2 linked regions of the Stegostoma tigrinum genome follow. The protein of the gene in region 2 purifies or fractionates together with the protein of the main gene of each other region. This does not show direct contact. Links are inferred from orthologs where the notes say so. Each region holds a gene or a part of one and is shown on either strand. Other genes may lie near its edges.

Region 1 (7,039 bases), on a different chromosome or scaffold from region 2:
GGTGGGGGAAAGATGTACAATCTATAATAGGCTGTAAACACTCAATCCAGCAAGCTTTAGAATCACAACTTTACAACACAGAAGTAGGCTATTCAGCTCACTGTGTCAGTGACAATTCTCTACAAAAGCAGTTCCATTTTTCCAATTATCCTGCTGCTTCTTTTTTCATTCTCAAATATTTACGTATTTTTCAACTAACTATGAAAGAAATATTTGTATTACATTGAGAAAGTCGCTGCAGTAGAAGCACGAAGTTTGAATATTTTTTTTTTCTTGACCTTGTCTCCCAACGGCTATTCTGTTTAACCTCAGTTACTGCTGCTGGTGCCAGTGGAAATTTTTAAAAGATAGGCTGCTTGAGTGTGCTATTCTGGCTGTTTTGGAATCCTTTCCATTGTGAGTATTTACCAAGGCTTAGTTGTATTCTTGGTTGACAAGGGAGTCTTCCCAGTGTGATGACTGTGCAGCATGACCAGGCCACAGTTGGAGTAGTCTTACATCTTGCCGTGTTTCATATGCTCCCTCAGTGAGCCAAGAGAACCACCCAGAGGATAAGGGGAATTGAGCAGGCCAAATCTTAAGTAATGATCTTTTATACTACCTTTTACTACAGTAAAATCTCAAAACACTTCAGTAACTGAATCTAAGTTGACAACAAGGACATAAAGTATTGAACTAGATGGCTCAAAACCTACTTTTAACAACTTTTTGTGGAAATTAAAAAAGTTTGGGGAGAGATTTCAGGAGTTGGGGTCCACACTGTTGGTAGGTGATAAGTTTAGACAATGTGTAGGAAGCCATAGCTGAAGGAGTGTAGGGTTCGATAATATGGCAAACTACAATTCTGAAACAATGTAAAATAAAATATTTTGCTTTTGAATGCAATAACTTGCTGTGTTGAAAACTACATGTAAGCTGTAAGTGTAGTTGATATTTACTAGTGATGACCATGACACTTTGTTTTTCTTCAAGTAATGGCATGCAAGTGTAAATATTTGCTTCAGTTAATTACATTATCTGAAAAATGGCACTTCTGACAGTATACTGCTCTGTTTATATTGCACCTTTGATCATTATTCAATGAATAGCTCATTATTTTATTCTCTCCTATTCAGTTTTTCTTGTTCTTTCACATAATGCAGCATTTTGCTGGCTTGACCAGATTTTTTTTGCCATCCCAAATTGCACTTGGAAAGGTGGTGGTGAGTTGCTACATCTATGTGGTGTGGCTACCCAGAGTGTTTTTCAGGACCCTTTTGGTACCAACTAATTTCTCGGAGCCAATAAATCAAACAGTACTGACTTAAAGATGTTCCAGTCTGTGTGTTAAATTGATCTGAGTGGCTCTGTGTGGGCTATCTGTTGGGTTTTTTTGTTTTTTGTTTTTTTTTGGCAAAATTTGCCTCAGACTGAGTGGCAGCCAGACAGGTTAGAGAAACAACCTAACCTGTATCCTAAGAGATCTTTAATGAGCAAAGGAAACTGAAGTTGATCTTGCATGATCCTAACCTGCCTTACCCATTCTGTGCAGTAAGCATTACCTTAACATGCTGTATCCTCAGTAAGGATCAAAACACCATCTTAGTATGCCCCATTCTTGGTACAGACCAAACTGTCACCTGCCTTCAGGATGTAAGAAATACGGGTAGAGTAGGCCGTTAGTCCCCTCAAGCCTGCTGTGTCTCTCAGGAAGATTATTGGTTGTCTAATATAGACATATCTTCACTCTGCTGCCCCTCTCCCATAATTTTTGATCCCTTGTCAACCAACGATCTAACTAAGCCTTGAAAAATACTCGTTGGGGAGAGGATTCCAAATGTTAACAGCATTGAAATAAATTATATTATCTTACTTCTGCGTTAAATAGGTGAGCCCTTGTTTTGAAACGACACACTTAGGAAACATTATTTCAGCTTCTACCTTGCAATGTTCCTGTAGTGTTAGAAGTTTCAAAAAGATGTGTCTCATTCTTCAAAACTATAATGCATTCAAACCAACTTACACAGTCTCTCCTCATGACAAGTTCCTTTAGACCAGAAATTAGCCAAGTGAATCTTCTCTGAACTGCCTCCAAAGCGATAGTGTCCCTGCTTAAATAAAATGACCAAAACTGAGCATAACGGAGTGGTAACAACCTAATGGCATTAGCCCTAGACTATTAACCCAGAGAGACAGATGATGTTTTGAGGAACTGGGTTAGAATCTTGCCATGGTAGATCGTGCAAATTGAAATTAATAAAAATCCAGAATTGAGAGTCAATTGATGACTATGTCACTGTTTTGGCAAAACCGATTTGGGCTAATATGCTTTAGGAAAGGAAACTGCCATCCTTACTTAGTATGGCCCATGTGACTCCAGGCTCACAGCAATGTGATTGATTTTTTAACTGTCTCTTGGGGATGGGCAATAAATGTTGCCCTAACCAGCAATACCCACATCCCATTTTTTAACGTACTTACATTGATATCATACCTTTGATAAGATGACAAAGGACAGTTAAGAATGGAACAATTAAAATCAAGCCATTCCTCAGCCTACCTTAGATGAATACAGGTCTGTTGGAGAGTTACGGGATTGGCAGAGATTATAAAGATGGGCTGAACAATGCAATTGAGGATCTGTAAATAAAGATAAGATTTCTTTTAATTTAATGCTTTACTGGACCAGAAAATAGTTTAGGTCAGCAAAGACAAGGTATTAGCTAAACAGACTTGTTGCAATTAAGGACACAAACAGCAGAGATTTTGGTGAATTTAAGTTGTTGCAAGGGTAGAATGTGGGAGGCCAACCAAAAGTATGCAGGAATTGTTGAATCTAGAGGTAATGAAGGCGTGAATAAGGGTTTCAGAGGTCAAAAATTCCAAGGCTCAGACATGAGCGGGAAGAGGAATTGGGGGCAGGGAGCAAATAAAACAGATTGAGGAAAGATTGTGAAAATGTTTGAAAGTCCCATGTGGGCAAATCCAAACCCAGGCTACTCTGCCACTTAGACAAACTGTATCTCGGTTTTGAAATTATAAATTAATTTAGTATTGATTGCTAGATGTAGAAGAGAGTTTTGCTACTACCTTTAATGTGAGAAGTATTTCCTAATGTAATTTCTGAAAGTCTGCCTCCAAGTTTTCTTTCTATGCCACCAGTCCTAGAGTCTCAAACTTGCTAATCAGTTTTTCCTATTAATGTGTTTAAAACTAATACAATCAACTTTTAATTTCTACGTTTGAGTTTTTGTGTCCCCAATATTTAATAGGAGGAAATTTCTACCTGTACTTTACTGGATGTCAGTTATGGAATTTGACAAATTGGAAATACAGGAATCAACAAAGTGCTAGCAACTTAGAGCTGGACATCGTCAGCATTAGTAAGTAACCCTGTTTTCTGAAGATGCTGCTAAAAGAGAACATGTAGGCAAGAAGGGGGTGTAAATAGATTTTTGAGGGTCATCAGAGCTAATCGTGTGGAAGTGGAAGGATGCATGTAACTCACAATAGTTAGGAAAAGAACCAGGTGAATCCCAGAATGTCCGCTTGAGAGAGTAGACAGGGTTTCTATTTAAAATCGCATCTGTAAAACAGCATCTCTGTCAATGTCAGTCTGGATTATAGCTCCAGAGCCTCTAAGGTGGAGTGCACAAGCACCCGATTTAAGGCATTTAATCTAATTTTATTTTGTTTAAGGCTCTCAGGCAAGGATGTTCCCAACTGAGCAGTAACTTTGGAAGTCCTACACCCAATCAATGCCTTCAGAAGCCTGGGGCAGACTGAGATGCTTGGGTAGCTTTGAGAACGTGGAGGGATTGGGGTGGGGGTCGCAGCTCGAATCCCAGCCCTTTCCTTCCGTTGCTCAGAAACGAACCGACAGGTTGGGGGTGTCGGCTGTGATTGGTGGAAGGTGCTGTCATTCAGCGTAGTCACCAAGCAGCCGGCACGGTGCATTTAAACCGTTCTTTCCCGGCATTCAGCCGGGCCCTCGGGTTCTATTTAAATACAATTGGCCAATCAGGAGCGGCGCACGGCTTGCTAACTGTCGACGCTCCAGATTTGAATCAGAGCCCCCGAGCATCTGGCCTGGGACGGACACGGTTTGCAGCGACTTTTTAACCAGACTCGGAGAAGACCCTGCTCAACTTCGATTTGGCACTCCATTCTCCCCATTCCCCCTGTCTGCACTGTGAACCGGTCAAATAATGACCACGGTGGCCGGTAAACCGTCCGCCAAGCCGGGGTCTGCGGCCCCGTCGGTCGTCGCTCCGGTGGCCAAGGAGATCCCCGACATCCTGGTGAACCCCAAGACCATGAAGAGGTACGTGCGGGGCCGTTTCTTGGGCAAAGGGGGGTTCGCCAAGTGTTACGAGATCTCCGACATGGACACCAACGAGGTGTTCGCCGGGAAGATCGTGCCCAAGACGCTGCTGATGAAGCCGCACCAGAGGGAGAAGATGTCCATGGAGATCTCCATACACAAGAGCCTCAATCACGCCAACGTGGTGGGCTTCCACGGCTTCTTCGAGGACGATGACTTCGTCTACGTTGTCCTGGAGCTATGCAGGCGGAGGGTGAGTGCCTCGGGTTGAGGAGTGGGGGGGAGAATTGACGGGAGCTGCTGGCACCGGTTTATACTGACCGCCGCGTCCCCCACCCCCTCTCTTCCCCCCGGGATCGACGGTTGTAAGCGGAGGAAGGGAAGAGCTGCGGGACAAAGGATCCCGGTGAATGGAGCCGAGTCGGAGCGTTCTCCCATTGGAACCAACTGTAACAATTTGGGGCTGGGGGAGGGTCTCACCCATAAGTGGCACCGATCAGGTGGGGGAACTGGACACTGTCAGACCGGGTACAGCAGCTCAGGGCCCTGGGCCTGGGCAGCGCTCAGCCTGTCCGTTCTCTTCCCCCCCCCCCCCCCCATCCAGGTTGAAGGGCTGCCCGCTGCTGTCTTTTTTAGTTGAAATGGGGTTTGTATTTAAAATTGCGGCAGCTCGGAGCCGGTTGGCTGGCGGGTGCCTCGTATTAAAGAAGGCGGAGCTTCGGCCTTGCGAGCCAGAAGGAGCAGCCCCTGGTTGGTCTGATCCTGTTTCGTGCTATTCCCATCTCCACTCCTCACTCTGTTTAATTCCTCAAATGGTTCGGTAAAGCCACAGTTGCTACCCTAAGTCTAGCTGGTGATTCTCCTCTCCTCTGTCAGCTGGCACTGCCTTGTGTTACTGATCGGCTGCGGCCAAAAGTTCAATACTGTTTTTTTCTTTAATTTTGTTTATAAAGTGAACTGGTTTTCTTTTAATACCGATCACAAGTTAATTGTCACATTCAGTCTTTACTAGAATTGCACAAGAGGCGGAAGGCTGTCACTGAGCCCGAGGCCCGGTATTACCTGAAGCAAGTCATCCTGGGCAGCCAATATCTGCACGATAACAACGTTATTCATCGAGATCTCAAGCTTGGCAATCTTTTCCTCAATGATGATATGGAAGTGAAAATAGGTAAAGCATGATAAGAGATAATGGGAACTGCAGATGCTGGAGAATCCAAGATAACAAAGTGTGGAGCTGGATGAACACAGCAGGCCAAGCAGCATCTCAGGAGCGCAAAAGCTGACGTTTCGTGCCTAGAACCTTGAAGGGTCTAGGCACGAAACGTCAGCTTTTGTGCTCCTGAGATGCTGCTTGGCCTGCTGTGTTCATTGTTAAATAGGTAAAGCATTGCAGTCGGTTGTCGATAGTCTTTAGCCAGTTCATGAAGCCAACAGTCACTTAGTCATAGAGCTGTACAGCACGGAAGCAGACCGTTCGGTCCAACCCAGCCATGCCAACCAGATATCGTAAATAGGTCTAGTCCCATTTGGCAATATCTCTCTAAACCCTTCCTATTCATACACCCAACCAGATGCCTTTGAAATGCTGTAATTATGACGGCCTCCACTACTACTGCTGGCAGCTCATTCCATACACACATCACCTTCTGTGTGGAAAAAAAGTTGCCCCATAGGTCCCTTTTTAAATCTTTCCCCTCTCACCATAAACCTATGCCTTCCAATCTAGGACTCCTATACCTTGCGGGGGGGAAGACCTTGGCGATTCACTATATCTGTGCCCCTCATGATTTTATAAATCTCCTATAAGGTCATTCCTCAGGTTCCAATGTCCAGGTTGGGGGATGAAAACTCCAGTCCATTCAGCCTCTTCCTCTAGCTCAAACCCTCTGAACCCAACAACATTCTTGTAAATCTTTTCTGAACGATCCCTTTCCTCTATCACGGAGACCAGTATTCCAACAGTGGCCTCACCAATATCCTGTACAGCCGCAACATGACCTTCCCAACTCCGATATTCATTGCACTGACTGATAAGGCAAGTGTACCAAACTCTACCTTCGCTACCTGGTTTACCTGCAACTCCACCTTCTATGCTATGAGCCTTCAACCCAAGGCCTCTCTGTTTGGCAATACTCTCAAAAGGGCTTTACCATTAGGTGTACAACTGACCTGCCCTGATTTGCCTTACCAGCACCAGCACCTCACATTTATTTATCCAAATTAAACCTCTACTGCAACTCCTCAGCTGATCTGATGGAGACACTTAGTTTTGCAACAGAAGTGCATCGTATGAAACTAGAATCCCTACAGTGAGGAAATGGGCCATTTGACCCAACAGGTCCACACTGACCCTTCAGAAAGTATCCCACCCAAAGCCATTTGCCTACCCTATCCCTGTAACCCTGCATTTCCCCCGTGCATGTTAGGTAGTTTGACCATCTTTGGACTGTGGGCGGAAACCAGAGCACGCAGAGGAAACTTGCACAGACACTGGGCGAATGTGCAAACTCCACACAGACTGAAAGTGGCATTGAACCCAGGCCCCTGGTGCTGTGAGGAAGCAGAGCTGACCACTGAGCTACTATGCTGCCCTGTGCGTCTTCATTTTAACAGAAGATGAATAGAGAAGTTGAGCAGTTAAACGCTAGCTTAATTTTTCTAGATTATTGTATCCCATTCCTGACTATAAAACTCAAGAGCTGGCCCAAACCTCCCTGGATTTGTTGGTGGTTT
Region 2 (7,373 bases):
TATGGCATAATTAGCTATTTCAGACATGGGGAGGGCAGAGCCTTTATTTAAACATGAAGATCTGAACTTAAAGTTGCAGGCTATTTGTCATAGACAAGTATGATTGAATGGCACTTGGTGTGAGATATTTTGGTATACAGTATTATTTGAACTTGGAAGTGCTATACTTTGGCAATGAGAAATGAGGAGCTAAGTGGAGTGTTTGGTGATTTCACTTAGTGTTGGAAATCATGAGTGGCCATGCAAGATGTTTGGTGATCATTACCTTGGCAAGGTGGCCTAAGGAGGAACTTATTAGCTTATCTAGTGAAATTCCTTCATGCAGACTATTGTTCGTGTCACATCTGATTCACTGTGAACCACACTCTTCAAAAATCTGGTCCTGCCCAAAAGGAAACACTGCAGTAAAATCTGATGCAAAAACAGCAATTACTGGAGAAACTCAGAAAGTCTGGCAGCATTTGTGGAGAGAAAGCTTTTTCACCACAGATACTACCAAAACAACTGGGTTTCTTCAGCAATTTCTGTTTTTGTTTCAGCTGTTCAGCATCTGCAGATCTTTCTTTTAATTTTGTAGATGACGCATACTGATTTAACTTGTTTTGTGTACCTCGGAACAGTGCTCCGGTATGATCAATGTATTCATTTCCAAGTATTACTGTTTTTTTTAATGTGTTTTTCTCTCTCTGGGTCAACGACGCAATGGAGGAATGTGTCATGCCAACTCAGCAGTGAGCTGGCTGGGCTAGGAGCGGTAGGTGTGGACTCAGGACCTGAATAAGCTTGTCCCAAAGGTCCTGTAAATTGGGCAAATTTGTTAAATATTTAGAAAGACAGAACAATCGCATTCAAAAAAAAACTTAATGTCATATAGAACCAGTTTATATTCCTAAGGGATATGAAGCTCAAATGGCAAAAGACAACATAAAACTGAAAGAAAACTAAAGACAGGAATGCAAAAAAAAATCATGTTGATTGGAAGAGCTTTTAGGAATAGCAAAGAGTGGCAAAATCAATTGTAAAATTTACAAAATACTGTATGAAAAGAAATTTGCAAGGGATACCAAAACAGCATTGAAAACAAAAAATGCTGGAGATCACAGCGGGTCAGGTAGCATCCATGGTGAGAGCAAGCCAACGTTTTGTGTCGAGATGACTTTTCTGCAGAGTTGATGTGAAGGGTGGACAGGACAGCATCTATGCATTAGGTGGGGGGAAGGGGACGATGTGGAGTGCTGGGGGAAGAAAGGGTGCTGATAATCCAGATTAAGTGATCTGAATGTGAGAATGGCAGATTGAAGTTGTCTCTTGCTGGCAGACTGGAAAAACAAACAGTCCACTGGAGTCGGGGGATGGGAGAGAGGACATGGTCACAAATAATGTAAAATTAAAAGAATTAAAGGAATGGAAGTGGGTTCTCAATCTGAAAGAGTGTGAAGAGGGATGAACACAGTAGGCCAAGCAGCATCTCAGGAGCACAAAAACTGACGTTTCGGGCCTAGACCCTTCATCAGAGAAGGTGTTTAACTCAATACTAAGTCCAAAACATTGTAAAGCCTGGCAGTTAGACACACCATTGTTCAGCCATTCTCACATTCCAACCACTTAATTTGTACTATCAATACCCTTTCTTCCTCAGCACTGCAAACACCATCCCACAAACATTGCATAAATGCTGCTCCCTTCACACTTCACAGCAGCTCTGCTGAAGGGTCATCTAGATGCGAAACATTAGTTTGCTGTCTCCCCATGTATGCTGCCTGATCTGCTGTGATCTCCAGCATTTTTTGTTTTCAGTATAGATTCCAGCACCTGCAGTAATTTACTCCTACCAAAACCAGCACTTTTTAAAATCATTTGCGTTATGAGAAAGACAGTGTAAGTAAAATAACAGTAATGAAGAAAATAATAGATCAAATAAAATAATGAAATAACTCCACAGCTATCAGTATCCCATCACTAAGTCATCTTTTAATTACACATGGAGAACCCTTGAGACAGATCCAGATTCCTCAGAATTTGCCCTGAGTGAATAGGATGTCTGATATTCAGGTTCTTATCTGTCAGCTACGCCTCTCTGATTGGACCAGATTAACAGCCCGATCAGAGAAGTCATATTCTATAAGGACCAGCTGGCTGATTACAATCACTACACCAGATAATTTCTATCCCAGGGTTTTAAATGAAATTCTTATCTAGTATTTTGAAGAGTAGGTGCTGACATGATGGACTGAATGCCTGCTTTCAGCGCTTTAACAATTCTCTGATTCTGTGAAGTAGGTGAGGACATTGCAAATGCCCCACCAACAGTTTTCTAAAATTCTCTCAATTTTGGGCCCCACACCTCAGGAAGGACATACTGGCACTGGAGCGTGTCCAGCGGAGATTCACACGGATGATCCCTGGAATGGTAGGTTTAACGTAATGATGAACAGCTGAGGATCCTGGGATTGTATTCATTAGAATTTAGAAGGTTGAGGGGAGATCTAATAGAAACTTATAAGATAGTGTATGGCTTAGAAAGGGTGGACGCTGGGAAGTTGTTTCCGTTAGATGGGGAGACTAGGACCCATGGGTACAGCCTTAGAACTAGAGGGGGTAAATTTAAAACGGAAATGAGGAGACATTTCTTCAGCCAGAGAGTGATGGGCCTGTGGAATTCATTGCCATGGAGCGCAGTGGAGGCTGGGATGTTAAATGTCTTCAAGGCAGAGATTGATAAATTCTTGATCTCACAAGGAATTAAGGGCTACGGGGGGAATGCAGGGAAGTGGAGTTGAAATGCCCATCAGCCGTGATTAAATGGCAGAGTGGACTCGATGGGCTGAATGGCCTTACTTCCACTCCTATGTCTTATGGTCTTCAATTTCTGCTTCTTTAGATCAATGCTTACCAATCTTTCTTTTCCTGTGATCTCTTTTTTTATGTCCTGAATGTTTTTGCGACTCCTTAGGAAGAACTATTGGAACTGGAGCACATGTGTACAGTTGTCATAACTTGGTCAGAACTCCACAACTGTCTTTCTGCATTGGAGTTCATGATCCCAATATTTCAGCTTGTAAACCGCTTTAGGATGTCCTATTTTTGGACTGTAAAATTAGATTTATGAGAGGGAAACCAGGGAACTATAGGTCAGTTAGCCTAAATACATTGGCTCAAAATTACTTGTCAGCTGTTAAGGATGATGACTGAACACCTTCAAAATTTTCAGCTGATTGACCACAGCAGCATGGCTTTATAATGGATATATTATGCTTGATGATCTAGTAATTTATGAAGAGGTGACTAATTCATTGGATGTGAAATATCTATTGAAAGAAAATGTCAATGTATGTTAATTTTTGATATGGATATCTAGAAATCATTTCCCAAAGGACCGTTCGGGTTAAGCCTGTACTCTTTGCAATGTAGAAGAATGAGTGGCAACCTTATTAAAATTTACAAGATTCTTAGGGGACTTGACAGTATAGGTCCAGGAAGGTTGTTTGCCCCGAGACAGTCGAGAACAAGAGCATTTAACCTCAGAATAAGGGGTCACACATTTAAAACATAGATGACGAAGAATTTCTTCTCTGAGTGTAATGATTCAGTGGAATTCTTTACTGTAGAGGCCATTGAGGCTGGGTCATTAAGTATATTCAAGGCTGAGATAGCGTTTTAATTAGTAAGAGTGTCAAGTGTTATAGGGGAAAAGGCAGAAAACTGGAGTTCAGGATTATGAGATCAGTCATCACCGAACTGACAGAGCTGACTTGGGCTGAATGAACTTGTGTTCCTACACCTTGTTATGCTATGACTGATTGAAATTTTCAAGATATTACAGTGAAGAAAGAAAGACTTTCTATGGTCGGAAAGTGTCGCATCGGGGGCTTCAACTGAAAACGAATCTGACCTTTCAGGACTGCGAGAGATGGGAGAAGTCTCTTCCTCGCAAGTGACAACTGTTGCTCCTTTATTTGTTAGTTTAAAATCTGAGCCTGACACGTTTTTGTTAATCGACTGTGTGGGTTGAAGGTGGGCATTTGAAGAATCCAGTGACATATCCGCCGTGATGTCCTTGAATGGTGTACAAGAGTGGCTCAAGGGCCTACGCTTGCTTAAATACCTACGCGGTGCGTGTGTCAGTTTATCCCCAACCTCGTGAAATTTGTAAACAGTGAGAGACGTGCAGGGGTAGCAGCACGTTGGTTCTGTGAGGGTACAGAGTGAATGCTTGAGTGCAGCGTGTAAACATGGAATGTGCGCGTTACAAGTGTGGTGTCCCGTGTATGTGCATACAACACACTGCACATACCATTTCCACAGGCCTGTGGTTTCCGCCTCCCCTCCCCCACCGCGGCTGAGAGCGAGGCGCATTGACGTCAGCGGCGCGGCTGCCTTCCGGTGGAGGTGACAGTGACTGAGGAAACTCGTCCTGCCGCAGTCGCTTTCTAACAGGCCCCTGTTCCTACGGATAAACTTGTTCAGCCTGTCGCCCCTAGGATCGGTGGGGGGGGGGGCGGAAAAGACAGGCCCATCGCCCTCCCGCTCCGACTGTCGACTTCGTTTTCTGTGGGGTGGGTAGGTTAGAGGAAGGGGGTGGATTGGAGGAGTAGGCGGCGAGTGGTCTCTCGGCGCCGAGTTAACTCGCTGTCGATCATTCCTCCAGGCTTCTGAAGCGTTAACTGGGTGGCTAAGATGGCGGCCGCGGGGAGCGGGGAAGAAGAGCGCAGCCTGCGAGAGTGTGAGCAGTATGTCCACAAGCACAACATCCAGCAGGTCCTCAAGGACTGCATCGTTCAGCTCTGCATCGCCAGGCCCGAGAAACCCATCACCTACCTCAGGGAATACTTCGAGAAACTCGAGAAAGTGAGTTGAGAGGGCAGCAGGTTTCATTTTCTCAAAGGAAAGGAGAGAGTAGCCTTGTTTATTTTGTTTGGGGCGTGTGGTGGTTGACGATTAAAGGACAGTTTGACTTTTTTTGCTTCGTGTATGATCAAGCTTCTGTAGTTGGTTGATGGCGAACGTGGCAGGCCGACGTTTTAGTGCTGACCTAGAAAAGAGTTTTGTTCGTGTTTGGTGCATATGTTATTAAGCAGTTAACGGACCAGAGACAAAAGCAAAGCCAAGCAGAATGTAAGCACTTGTTAAGATATTATCAGTGAGTCCTTTGATTGTTAACAACATTCTCGGTTTCATGAAGGTGAGTACCCGCGCGCTGAAAAAGATTAATGTAAAAAGTCTTTTTCGGACAGAGAAATCACCTGTTTAGCTTGGTGCAAAAGTATTGGACATTCAAGGTAATCAGTTTCCTATAGTCTATGCTCATGGCTGCAGTTTTGCTCCAAATACTAGTGACACTCGAGGGCCATTGGTGACTGCAACATTGACGTCAGAACGCTTTAGGTAAATCGTGGGTTGCTAGAAATGTGAAATCACTTTGCATCATCTTGTGATTTCCCAGAATTTGAATGAAGTAATTAGATGTATTCACATTCTTTTGTCTATCCAGTAAATTTCTTCCTGTCTTTTCTGTTCTCTCTTCCCTCCCTCTTTCCCCCCCACTAAAATGCACATAGTGTGGCCTCCAAGGTTTCCATTTAATTTCGGATCTATATATTGCCCCTTGTCATCTGATTATGACTGAATAAAGATTGCATGAGTAATAGTAAATTGTACTTAATTCATAATTCTTCACTAACAAGAGAATGATATTACTTCAGTGATGCGAAGTGTTGTTATTCACCGAAAGCAATATTTCACTCTGTAATCTTTCTACCACCTATAAGGCATAAATCAGGAGCTGTATGGAATACTCTGCATGTCGATATGAATGTGCCTGTTAAAACACTTGGAGCTCAATGATGCACAAAACATCCCATCATCGTTGTAAACATTCACCACTCTAAATCGTGCTTTGTTCTGACTTGGATGTATACCAGTCTGTCTTCATCACTGAGTCAAAATCCTGAAACTTGGTACTATGGCTGTATCATTATCATATGGACTACGTTGGTTTTTCTTTAAAGATGGCATAAGCACTTTGGCTGTGGGTGGCAGAGCTTTGCATACTTTGTGAAAATACTTTGTTTCTTCAAAAGTAGGGAAGGAAGTAATAATCAAATAAGTGGGTTCTTTTATATATTTTGTGCACAATGTTATCAGCAATGTTTCTGCAAGAATTAAAGCTTTGTGAAGGGAATGAAATTCTGAAGCCTCTTAAAAAGTGACCCAGTATAATTTCAGACATGTAGAAAAATCTGTTAAATATTACTGGCCAGTAAAATTCGCTTGTTTAAAATATCATCATTTCAGTTGATAGGGAAGTACATAATTTGTATTTTTTTACTTTGGGTTCTGGACAAAATCAAACACGTTTGACAATTGATACATGACTTGTAACCTGTGTAGTGTGATTGTCATGTATAGAATATTGAGCTGCTTTTAGCAAAAGTTCGGATTACATTAGTTTTAACATTGCTTAGTCATTTACCTGTTTTACGATTGAACTAGATGTCACTTGGTGGATAGATGAAGATTGATTAAATTGACAATGATTTGTTTATAAATCTAATTAAAAACAGTGCCACTTCTGACTAGTTGTTTTTCTTTCAAGAACAGTTTGTTTGCAGATAGGTTAGCTGATTATAAAGTAGGTCAAATTTGTTAAAAATGCTGGGAGTTATTAGAATTGATGAACAAAGTTAGCATGACAAAATAATTTTAAATTACTTAAAATTTTAGATTTAAAATTTTGGGGAATTCTAAAGGAATAAACATTCAATTCAAAATTGAACAAAATCATTGGGGAATCTTCAGAAATTCCCATTTTTAGTATGTAGCCAGCAGCACCAACTAGGAGTGGGGTTCAGTATTAAGGGCATTATAATGTATTACTGAGGTTGGCTTAGTATATCCTGATAATTTTTGAACACTATAGCTCCAAAGGACATGATTGTAGCAAAAGGGGCAGTGAAGCTGATTTCTCAAGAATTGAATTGAGTCAAGAGGGAGGCTTTAATACTTTTTATTTGTACCAGCAAAAGAGTGTTTATTTTTGGCATATTGCTTTTTAAAAAAAATAACATTTTGACTGGTGCTAAAGATTTGAGAGACTGAGAAAGATAAGCCAAGGCAAACATTTAAAAACTGAATTACTTCAGAATGACACTGAACTGGAAGTTTGCAAAATAAGTTGTTGCAGAGGAGTAATTCTTGTACTTGACATCCATTGCTAATTGGAAGACAAATCCCAAGTATAGATATGTTTTTTTAAAAATGTGCTCATAGAATGTGGGTGTCATTTGTAAGTTAATGCTTATTGGCCATCTATAAATACTCTTTTTAGAAAGTCATGATGAACTGCCTTCTTGAACCATTATAGTCCATTCACA

Evidence for each region. The genes of interacting proteins can lie anywhere in the genome.
Region 1: the proteins of cAMP-dependent protein kinase type I-alpha regulatory subunit (region 2) and plk1 purify together in Homo sapiens (affinity purification with mass spectrometry; 4 studies listed by BioGRID and IntAct, with this or other methods). This does not show direct contact. The link is inferred for Stegostoma tigrinum from reciprocal best matches to the Homo sapiens genes PRKAR1A and PLK1.

Annotation. Positions count from the first base shown.
Region 1 is NC_081376.1:22,425,766-22,432,804, forward strand, and holds the start of plk1 (serine/threonine-protein kinase PLK1), read left to right. Parts: upstream 1-4,017; 5' UTR 4,018-4,187; coding exon 4,188-4,556; intron 4,557-5,305; coding exon 5,306-5,474; intron 5,475-7,039. UniProt on the Homo sapiens protein: Serine/threonine-protein kinase that performs several important functions throughout M phase of the cell cycle, including the regulation of centrosome maturation and spindle assembly, the removal of cohesins from chromosome arms, the inactivation of anaphase-promoting complex/cyclosome (APC/C) inhibitors, and the regulation of mitotic exit and cytokinesis.
Region 2 is NC_081375.1:22,779,354-22,786,726, forward strand, and holds the start of cAMP-dependent protein kinase type I-alpha regulatory subunit, read left to right. Parts: upstream 1-4,358; 5' UTR 4,359-4,560; intron 4,561-4,648; 5' UTR 4,649-4,677; coding exon 4,678-4,848; intron 4,849-7,373. UniProt on the Homo sapiens protein: Regulatory subunit of the cAMP-dependent protein kinases involved in cAMP signaling in cells.